Notamacropus eugenii: one gene and its partners. The protein of the gene in region 2 interacts with the protein of the main gene of each other region in a pairwise test. Links are inferred from orthologs where the notes say so. Each region holds a gene or a part of one and is shown on either strand. Other genes may lie near its edges.

Region 1 (3,751 bases), about 270 Mb from region 2:
GGTCAGTGCCAATTACATTATTTTCTTCATTAACATTGTATGCCCTGTTATTTTTTCCTGAAGCATCATTAATATGTGTTTCAAAGGATACATTATTTAAACACTTATTAGGAATTCCTTGAACTAGTTTAATTAGAATCCAAAATATAGTGATAGTGCCAAAGCAATTAGTACTCTGTCATATACGCTAAAAGTTTCTCTGTCAGATAATAGATTAAAACATGGAAACAAACTGGTTAAAAATAAAGGAAAAAGAAAAAACAGAAAGAAAATATTTAATTAGCTTATAAGAATAAAAAAAATTGACTTACTACTCTTAAAACCTTCCCTTATTAGAATGATTGCCAGACTACAAAGAGAAAAACAGCACAATTTACACAAATGCAAACAGCAAAGAAATAGAACTGTGTCTTCCAGTAAATAGCTTCCTTTTAACATATAAAGAAAAAAAGAATGAAAGTAACTGATAATTTAATTTTATCCATCACTGTTTTTTTGTCTTAATACATTTCAATGTCACAATACAGTAATCAGAACCAAATTCACATTCCTCCTGAGAATAGAGTATTAAATTATTGATGTTTAGTGACATTGCTTATGCATTAAGGTAATCATGTTCTGTATGTAAGTATATTTCACCCACAAATGATTAGCAACTATGTATGAAAGCTCAGCATTATCCTGTCCAGATAGTTTGTCCATTTAAAATGGATGTTCAGTAGAAGCAATGCACACAGTTAAACATAATGATTTCGGCACTGGCTACCTAAGTTTTGCTATGTTATTATATTTTTTAAAAATTTCCTTCCCTTATTGAGAAGGAAAGTTCAGGAACACAAAGGGTTAAGATTTGTTTAAATGTCTTTGAGAAGAATGATCTTTTGTCACTATACTCCTTACTAGCTTCTTTCTCTTTAGGATTCTGTATACGTCTCCCAATAATTACAAACCAGAACTTAATGAAGACGAATTAGAAATGTTTGATCAAAAGTGTCCAATAAAGAAAAAAATTAATTTAAAGGAATATAAAAAATTGAATCATTTAGAAATGAGAAATTAATCTTTAAATTTGTAAAACCTGAAATATTCTTGAGTGGCATAGAAAAAATAGTCAAGGACTGAACATGACTAGCCAAAGTTAGCATAAGCTTTGAAGCTGCCCTTACTGTCAAAGCAATAAAGAGGTACACACAATTTGTTTGACCAAGAAGTGTACTGTAGCAAAGTGGGGGTGTGAGAACTTATTTCATATTTCAAGGAAAATAGAAAGTAATTTAAACCATTTTAGTTAAATTAACCAGATCACTGAACTTAGAACTAGAAGAGAACTTATATTTCAAGATAGAGTTGTTATTTTTTGGAGGGGAAGCAATGTAGATAATGGCTTATTAACAGAAATACTTAATTTTTTCCATCAAATATGGGTGATGGACACAATCACTGTAATTACAAAGCACCAAATGGGAAGTGCTGTACAGAAGCGATTACTGTCAATTAGAGTGAAACCTGGGCTTCTTTGAATTCTGTTACCAAATAACTAAAGAATACAATGCAATATAGAAAAGAATAAGTACACTCAAAGTCCTGCCTACTGGTAGAATGAATAGATTTGGGGAACAGAACAAAACTAGTTCACCCAGTGATAACAACAGCTCCCTCACCCCTCCAAATCCTCACTCTCATTAGCACACTTTTATGAGAATATTTGACTTTCAGAGCTGAATCATTTTAAAAGTAACTACGATTCTTCCCTATTGCACAAAGACTGAATACAATAGAACCACAAACTTAAAAGAGGAAGGGGGCTGCGTTTGAAGAGAAAACAGTACATATTTGGTATGATGTAATAGGGACAGATAGAAATGCTGCCCTTGAATCCTACCTAGCAATATCTTCTGAGGAGAAACAAAAAGGGAAAATATAGCCTAACGATATGGCCATAAAATAATCATGTTACTTTCTGATATAAAATGAGGGTGTCAAAGCCCACTAGTTAAAATTATTTTGAACTGACTCCATTTTTTAGGATGTCTTAAGTGTATATTTGCTTTTAAGCTCTGTGCCGCCGGCCCCCACCCCCCACCCCTCAAATGACAAACGCAAGATATTTATCCGAAAAGAATCCTCATCAGGCCAAATAAAATTAAATAAAACCAACAATCAAATATCAGAACACTTTGCTGCTACTACAATATGCAGAGCTCCCTGAATCTTTGAGAACTTCTTGAAGGTAAAATAACCTTAGCAGAATGCAGTATTCAAGGAGGATACCTGATAAGGGAAAGAGACAGACGGGGTTTACTAAGATTATCCGAGTACCATTCACGTTCTCTGGAACCAGTAGCTAGCTAACCTACACCCAGTCTTTAGAGGCAACGTATACTCCAAGCAGTAGTTTCCAAAGAAAAACAACCAAACAAACAAGCAAACCTTTTTTTTAAGTTTGGTTAAGAACTTGCTTACCAAATTCCTCTCTGCTTGAGGTGATCGGAGCCATGTTTGCTGCGTGCTCTGTCCGAGGTACTGAATAGCAACCCCTGGCTTGCCTCACTATGAAAGCGACTGTTTTTCTCTTCCCAGAACGAGAGGCTGGATTTTCCTCGTGATGCAAACACCAACGTGCAGCCCAGGGGACCTTCAAGAGCAAGCAAGTGGGAGCGGGGGGGGCCTGAGGAAGCAGAGACGGAGTTCAGTTCTCCTTCACGCAGAGATTTGCCACCCCCTTTCCTGTTTTGGCTCTTCTGAGTAGCTCCGCTCTTACATTGTAGACGTGGTTGAAACCCAAATTGACGCAATCCTGACGCTACAGGGCTGAAATCAGCACCTGCCCTCCTCCCCTTCCATTTTCCCTATCCTCCACCCCTTCTTCTTTCTCTAGTTTCTCCAGAGGATTCAACACACACTCATCAATTATTTTAACTGCTCTGCTACAGGAGATTAGCTGTCTTATTCAGTGGGACACAGAAGCAGACTAAGATAGAAGTCCCTAAACTCAATCTTGTCAATCCATAACATAAAATGTTTGGACTTCATGGGTGGGTGGGAGCGTATCTCAGTGTGTCAGCGTTGTGATGCAAGGAGGGGATTAAGGGGCAAGAAAAAAGAAAAAAAAAACCAGTTCCATGTGATCCATTTCAATTACACACACATACACACACACACACACACACACACACACTTTATTCTCATGTTTCTTTCTTCAAAGCAATATACATGTCAGAAAAAAAAATTCACAGCTGACTGACACATTTAAAATAAAACTACCAAGATTTTCCCCTTTCATCTTCCCTTCTTCTCTTCTTCCCTCCCTATCAGTCCTGTTATCAACATAACTTTTCTGGTGATAGTGTTAACAACTATTCCATTCTAACACTGCAAGCCTATTCTATCTAATATCTGAAATTTCATCTAGTAAAGTGCTTAGGAAAAGATGGGAATAATCACTTTTGTTTTCAAAGCCCTTCCAGATGTCCTTTCATCTTTGATGAAATTCAGTGAGTATTTTAAAGAAACTTTAGGGATGATGAATTTGGTTATAAACCCTGACTGCTAATGTATGGAAAAAGAAGAATATCTTAAAAGTTTGAAAATATCTAGCTTGGTGTTGGTAGTTATAAATTTCTGCAGATGAAAAGAAAAATCATGTACTACTATGTGTGTAAATGTATGTGTACATACATTATATATACTCATACATATATACACATGCATATATATATATATATATATATATATATATATATATATATAT
Region 2 (3,751 bases):
GGAAGAGGCCAAGTCAGCACTCAACCTCCAGTGTTCTAGCTCCTACAAGCTCTATGCACAGACTACAAAAAGGCAGGAGGCTGGAGAGCTACCAGGGTCACCTGGTTTTGGGATGGAGTCAAGAACTATATTTGGAGTCAGAAGACCTGAATTCAAATTCTGATGCCCAGGAGCTTATTGCCCAAGTGGCCTCAATTTCACCATTTAAAAAATGAGAGGGTTGGACTAGATCTCTAAAGGTTCTAAATCTATGATACTCCAGGACGTCTAGGAGTCTCTTCAACCTTAAAGTTCTATTACAACTCCATGAGAATATAACTTTATCCATTATTACTCTGGGATACAACTTTTGAAGCAGGGTCAGAACTCCTCTTTCAATTACTCTCTAAAACGTTCAGGACACTGAGCATGAACATTATTACCCAGCCAAGCCTTGGGTGGTCCTCGCTGTCCCATATAACCCCTTCAAATTATACATTGTTATCGTTACAATTTAACTTTTGTCCTTCCTGAAACTGTCAGTACCTTGAGAGAGGGAATTTTTTTTTCTTTTTATTTCCACGACATGACATAGTAGTAGAAGGAGTAGTGGATTTATAATCACTGGACACGTATTATCCTGGCTCTGAAACTTACTAGCAGTGTGGCCTTCAGCAAGTGCCATCACTCTCCCTTGGCTTCAATGTTCTCTCTGTAAAATGAGGGGAACAGAACCAATGATCTCTAAGATCCTACGATGGGGCCATAGTTGGAGCCCAATGAAGGCTTGCTAAGTTGAGCAGCTAGGTGGTAGAGTGACTAGAGCGCTAGCCCTGGAGTCAGGAGGATCTGAGTTCAAATCAAAGTCACTTAACCCTGACTACCTTTACAAATAAAAAGAGTAAATAATTCCTTTGTTTCTTTTGGAAACAAATCAATATCTCTTCTATGCCTGTCCCTCAGCCAGTCAAAAGACAGCAAAACCTGTTGACTATAAGAAGACTTCCATCCCACTTAGACCTTTCTTGATTTCTGCCTACTCAGCCATCAATCAATCCTACCCTCCCACAGCTCCACTAAATGACCAGCAGACTGTTATTGGTTGGGGCAGTACGGCAGCTGTGTTAGAAATGGCGCTGGACTGGGAGCTAACACAGCTTTTGGGGGTCTGGCTCTGCCACTTACCGGCTAAGTGACCCCTGGTAACCCACTTCATGTCTCTGAGTCTCTGTGTTCTCACGTGCCCCGTGGGGCTGTCATGCCCTCCTACCTCACAGGGGTGCTATGAGCACCCAATGAGATAACACCTGGATGGGGCTTTGCTTTCAAAGCACAGCAGGAGTGTGAGGGATCGATCGCTAAGCCCAGTGCAAACTATTAAAACCAGAATCTCTGGAAAGGCTTTTTTTTTTTTTAAACGTGAATTAGAGCCTAAGACGGAAAAGAGCCCTTAGACTTAGGTTTAAGTGGCAGGGGTCTAATATTTAATAATGACCTTGGACAAGTCCCTTCCTCTCCCTGTGCCTCAGTTTCCTCCACTAACGCTACGAGCAGTTCTGGCCCTACCTACCTCACAGGAGAGGACTGGGTGCGGTGGCGAAACCTTTGGACTGGGGGATCCGAGGCCCCAGGTTCGAATGCGGACGGTGGGGGGGGGGGAGAGGGGAGAGACCCTGGACAAGTCCCTTAGCTTCTCCGGGTCTTAGGCTCCTCCGCTGTAAAAGAAGGGGGTTGGCGGGGGGCCTAGGAGAGAGATTCATGGACTCTGGGGAAACGGGAGAAAATGAGCCCTTGCTCAATCCTCGGGCCCCTCCGCTCCCGGAGCCCGGACCCTCGCCCTCCTGCAGAGGCCGCGGCTTCTCCACTGCCTTCCACCGGAGGAGCCGGAGCCTGGGCCGGGGCCTCCCTCCTGCCGGCCGCCCGCTCGCCTCGGGGAGCCGGCCGCGCGGGGCAGAGCAGCCGAGGCGCACAGCTCCGACACCCGGGGCGGAGGAGGAAGGGCGTCGCGGCCTCCCTGCCCTCAGCCGCTCGGCGGCCGCCAGCGCTGCAGTCGCCACTCACCTTAACAAGCTGCCGAGCCCCCGACTCCGCTCCGCCGCCTGCTGCGCCTGCGCCCACGCCTGCGCACCTCGCCGGTCGTCCCACCTCTTCCCCTCTGCCATGGCGATGGCGCGGAGGCAGTGCCCGGCTCCGCCCCCTCGCGGTTCTCGCGGGCCTCGGCCTAAAGACCTGCGGCGCAGGCGCGGATGACGACGGGCCCTAGATCAGGCAGAGAGAAGGCCCGGGCTGTAGTACTATTCACCGACCGGAAGTCTCGGTTCCAGGCTTTGCGTTTTGTGGGCCGGAAAAAGGAGGCCCGGAGTGTTGCATTGTGGGAGGACTCCATCCTCTCCTCCCCCTCCTCCCCCGCCCGCTCTTTTTTTTTCCCCCCCGCAAAGAATGATGTCATTTTCTCTTATTCCGTGACGAATTCGGTCACGTGCGTCTGCTCGCGTGCGCCCTGTGCCTGCCACTTACTTCAACTGTAACTTTGTAACTTTGGACAGCTCACCTTCCAGGCTAAATTCCGTTCGACTCAAAGAGCATCGTATCAAGCGCCTTCTCTGTAAGAAGGATACAAAGACAGACGGACGGACAGACACAAACGACCAACTGCCCCTGCTCCCTAGCACCTTCTGGTCTTCAGCCTCTGAACCTCGTTTTCCTCTTTTGCAAAATGTATACTCTTAAAAATTACCAACATTTGTATAATTTATAATCATATGATATATAGACATACTTTGTGTTCATATAGACCATATAATTTCCGTTTATAACATATATGTATATAATCTATATTTGATGTATAAATGCATGTAATAGATAAGTATTATTTCAAGTTTTTTTGTATTTATATGTTATGTAAATGTATAGTATATTTGTATATTGTATATTAATATACTTACATAGTAAAGCTTTGAAATTTGCAAAGCACATTACATGAAATTAATCCATTTGAGCCTCCCATCAACTGTTGTGTAGTTAGATAATATATTATTTGCATTTTACTAATGAGAAAATTGGGTGTCCCAAAGGATAAGTGATTTGCTCAGTCTCATAAACAACATAAGAGTTCTATAAGTTCTTACTATGTGAGCAAAGCTCTGGGCTAAGTGCTGGGGACACAGATAAAAGGAAAGAAGAGGAAACTTACCCTCAAAGAGCTTAAATTGTAATGATGAAAGACAGGACATAAAGAGAAGCAGCAGCCTACCCCACTGGATGGTTGGGAGGAATTTCACAGAATTTTGAGTTGATAGGCAGCACCACAGGGTCCACCTAGGTCAAGAGAATCTTTAAAAAACATCAACGAAGACCTTTTTTAAAAAAATTTAATATTTTATTTTTCCCAATTACACGTAAAAACAATTTTAGCATTCTTTTTTCAGATTTTGAGTTCCCAATCATCTCCCTCTCTCTCATCCCCCTCACTGAGAAGGCAAGCAATTTGACATAGGTTATACATGTGTAGTCATGTAAAGCACATTTCCATGTAAGTCATGCTGTGAAAGAAAACACAAAAAAAAACCCCAACAACAATAAGAAATAGAAAGCAAAAATATCTTCAATCTGCACTCAGCTTCCATCAGTTCTTGAAAACCTTTTGGTAAGGCTACCAGCTGCTGCCTAGGTTGAGGCAACTTCTTTCATTTTAGAAAAACTAATGAGTAGGAAATTTCCCTTATTTGGAGCCTGAATCTGTATAAGGCATGATCGGTTCAGACCCCCTCAC
Region 3 (3,751 bases), on a different chromosome or scaffold from region 2:
GCCAGAGTTTCACCGCTCTTTATTTTATCTTTACGTGCATATCAGGTACAGTTACTATCATGAGGGATCTCGGATATTTTTTGATATACCAAAAAGTGTCCTGATACGCAAAGACATTCAAGAAACCTCCTGATATCAATTACATTCCATCCCATTCAACATACTGAAGAAGATGCAGTGATGAGATAGTATATGTTTCTTACCTTTAAGGAACTCACAGTCTAGTGGGAGGGGGAGAGACAAGCTCAGCAATAACTAAAATACAAGTTGGAAAGTGATTCAAGTGCCCAAGATAAGCTCAACATAGAGGCCTGAGAGATTCAAGGAAGAAGTCAATACCAGTGCAATATAAAATTTTTGAGCCCAGTGACTATTTCATTTTTGTGCTTGGTAAAGAGCCTTGGAAAGTAGGCAGAGAGAGGGCACATAGAAGGCACTTATTAGAGGTTTGCTAAATTGAGTTGAATTCTTGCTGGGGCTATCAGGGAATGCATCTGAGCAGGATCTTGAGGAAGAGGTTTTCAGCAGATGGAGAGATGAGCATGGGACAAGTCAGTCCCAGGTGTGGAGAGCAGCCTGAGTGAATGCACGGAGTCAAGTAGACAGGACAAGACCAGGTAATGGCTAGTCACTCAGGGTGACTGAGTCAGATTGTGTGAAGGGGAGAATTTTAAGACTGGAAAAATGGACTGAAACCAGACTGTGAAAGGTCTTGAACCCCTAAATAAGGAATTTATATTTTTTTCTGGTAAACAATGAGGAACCTTTGAACATTTTTGATGAAGGCAGGGACATGGCTCAAGCTGTGTATTAGGAAGATTATTCTGGTAGTGCATCCAGGATGGATTGGAAATGATGAGAGGATAGAATTGGAGAGATCAGTCAAGGGGCTATTACCAGATGAGAAATGATAAAAGTAGTGGTAGGGGTGCAAAGGAATGGGTGGATACAGGAGACATTTCAGGAGTATCACAGCTTGGCCCAACAGTTGATCTGATGTTGGGAATGAAGGAGGGGGAGAAGACAAAGATGAGCAAGCTTTCTAAGTGTGTTCCCACTCCCAGGCAGGCCTTCAAAGGATAGGCTTGTGATTTTGCATGCATGCAGGGAGATAAGACTCCTGATTGGTGGAGAGATTTCTGAGAGAGAAGCAGAGAATGAAGAGACTATGGAGAGAGGAGGCAAGATGGAAACTCTGAATAGTGAACAGGTGGCCCCAAGAGCCATAGGCACGTGAGGAGGAGCTGGCACCCCAGTATGTCATTTGATTCCCAGTGTCTGCCCAGAGTGGACTTTGTGGATGAAATTTTTCTCTTTCTGCTTGAGCTGAGATTTCATCTCTTTCCTGGGTCTCAGAGCCCTTTTATGCTTGTTTTATTTTATTACCTACACTAATTTGAATGGCTCCCCAGATTTCCATCTTACTTGTTTGCTTTAATAAATGACTGCTTGCTATCCGTGATTGTGTAATAAATGTTTGGTGAAAGGGGGAGTGAAGGTTGTTGAGATTAAGCTGTTATCTTCTAGCCTTAAATGAAACTACTTTCCACTACCCTCACCTTCCCTGACTGGGGAAAGTGGTTTTTTTCCTGGAACTAGAAAAATAATTCTTCCCCTAGACTACAAACACCTGATGTGTGGTACATAGAATTCTAGTGCAGTGCCCTTCTAGAAAATAGGGAAACAAAGAAATGGTTGATTGCCCAGTCTTGGCTGCTCTACTGCTTTCCACAAGGGTAAAACTCTATGTTTCCCTGGGGAATGGCTTGGTAGGGCATTGCAGATCTATCAAGAAATCCTTGTTTAGTCAGGCCAAGACCTTTTTCACATGATCCACCTTGTTGCACTACCAGTTTGGGTGACTAGCAGCTTAGAGCTTGGAATCCCTTTTCCTGAAGCCCAGGGAAAATTCTCTGCAACCTTTCCCTTTCCACCCCAGGCCCTTACCCCCACTAAATCCCATAAAAATCCTCAGACCCCTTGTATTCAAAGGAAGTTTGTAAGAGCTGTGAAACAGGTAGAGCCAAAAGGAACCAGAGGCCTGGGGAAAGAGAGCAGTTCTTTGAAGCCTTCAGCAGGAGCTGTCCAACCTGGGGGTCTGTGGCCCAAGTTTTCCTCAGTTCCTAAGTTGCATTGTGGATGGGAAGGATGGGAAGGTGGGCAGAATAAGATGCCTTGACCTCTCTAAGAGGGAGGGATCAAGACTTACCATGGAAAGTGCAGATGATTCCTCCCAAGAGGACAAGGACCAGGAAGGATCGCATGGTCTGGAAAGAAGATACAGTGGCATCAAAAAACCATAGGGCAATATGATTTATTTACTTACATTCTAAATTTTCTTTTTTTTTTCTAATTATGAACTTAACAACCATCAACAAATAAAAACATTTTCCTACACAAAGAGCAAAAATGTATGATGAATCTTGAATCCAAATGTACCTTTTTCACAGTTATTCTTAGAGGGATTATTAAATTTAATAAGGTAGTAACAAAATAGTCCTCTTTCTTATCATTCTTCTTTTTTATATATTTAAAATATTTTATTGATGCTCTTTTTTTGTCTTTCTGCCACTAACTGCTAACTCCTCTGCTGCTGTGACCCACTCCATACCATTGAATCCCAACCCATCTCTTGTAATAAGTAGAGTCAAACAAAACAAATCAACGTCTGAAACCTCATTTTGCACCAGTATTCCACCATCTCTCTGCCAAGAGGTGGGAGGCATGTCATAGAATTTAGAGCTGAAAGAAACCTTAGAAACCTAGAATTAAGCCAAAAGTGGGGAGTAACTTGTCTAATGCCATAAAGCTGCAGAAAGCTAGGATTACAACCCTAGTCCTCCAGAGATAAGGCCCTGTGGACCTAGCCTGAGAGATAGTTAGAAAAGGAGGAGAAATGGTTGCATAGAGCAAAGATTACATAGTGATCACAGGCCCACAGATTTAGAGTTGGGACCTTGGAGCCTATAAAGTCTAACCTGTCCATTTTACAGATGAGGAAACTAAGGCTGAGAGGTTACATGTCTTGTCCAGAGTCATAGCTAGCAAGTGATTAAGGCATGATTTGAACTTGGGTATTTTTTCATTCTAAACCCAGAGTTGTACCCATTGCTCCACTTAGTATCTTGAGGAACTCATTCCTTCTATTTTGTCCCATGCTTCTGAACCCCTGTAGATTATAGCTACTCATCTCTCTCTCTCCCTTCTGATCTTTCCCATTTCCCATTCCCTTGTCTTACCCCTCAGATCCTGGGCCCATCTGCTTCCCCATCTCTTCCTTACCTGTTCTGGGCTGAGTGCTTTGCTGGTCTCCACTCACCCAGGAGATTTATACTTACCCATTGTTTATTTAGATGAGTGTGAGTTCTTTCTGGTGACAGTTGGCTTGGCCCAGCCCAGCCCTGCCTCTTAGAGAGCCCTCCAAGTTTTCTTTTAGACTTCTCAGGGCTCTTCATGATAGTTGCCACTCAAATGGTGACGATAGGGCTTACCTGAAGTTAGCTAAGAAATGTTCTTGGATGTGTAGTGCTACGTATGTACAGACCCTTGCTGTATAGAAGAGAGGGTATAGGGGCAACAAAGAATTGAGACCACCTTTTCTTCCCCTGCCAAGAGAAATTTCTATCCTGGACCCTGACTGATGGTTTCTGGGCATTTTGGAGGTGGTCCCTAGGCCCTGAGGTATAGGTAGGGGATGCATCCTCTTAGAGTTGAAAGAACCCTGGATTTGGACTCAGGACCAATGTGTTTG

What was found.
Region 1: the proteins of SGTA (region 2) and SYT4 interact in binary tests that used the Homo sapiens proteins (3 or more experiments, as listed by UniProt). The two-hybrid records come from large-scale screens. The link is inferred for Notamacropus eugenii from reciprocal best matches to the Homo sapiens genes SGTA and SYT4.
Region 3: the proteins of SGTA (region 2) and prostatic spermine-binding protein-like interact in binary tests that used the Homo sapiens proteins (3 or more experiments, as listed by UniProt). The two-hybrid records come from large-scale screens. The link is inferred for Notamacropus eugenii from reciprocal best matches to the Homo sapiens genes SGTA and ZG16B.

Annotation. Positions count from the first base shown.
Region 1 is NC_092875.1:331,133,677-331,137,427, reverse strand, and holds the start of SYT4 (synaptotagmin-4), read right to left. Parts: upstream 2,788-3,751; 5' UTR 2,498-2,787; coding exon 2,464-2,497; intron 1-2,463. UniProt on the Homo sapiens protein: Synaptotagmin family member which does not bind Ca(2+). Involved in neuronal dense core vesicles (DCVs) mobility through its interaction with KIF1A.
Region 2 is NC_092875.1:63,000,422-63,004,172, reverse strand, and holds the start of SGTA (small glutamine-rich tetratricopeptide repeat-containing protein alpha), read right to left. Parts: upstream 2,126-3,751; 5' UTR 2,041-2,125; intron 1,671-2,040; exon of another isoform or gene 1,550-1,670; intron 1,240-1,549; exon of another isoform or gene 1,165-1,239; intron 1-1,164. UniProt on the Homo sapiens protein: Co-chaperone that binds misfolded and hydrophobic patches-containing client proteins in the cytosol. Mediates their targeting to the endoplasmic reticulum but also regulates their sorting to the proteasome when targeting fails.
Region 3 is NC_092872.1:56,084,835-56,088,585, reverse strand, and holds the start of prostatic spermine-binding protein-like, read right to left. Parts: upstream 2,265-3,751; coding exon 2,210-2,264; intron 1-2,209.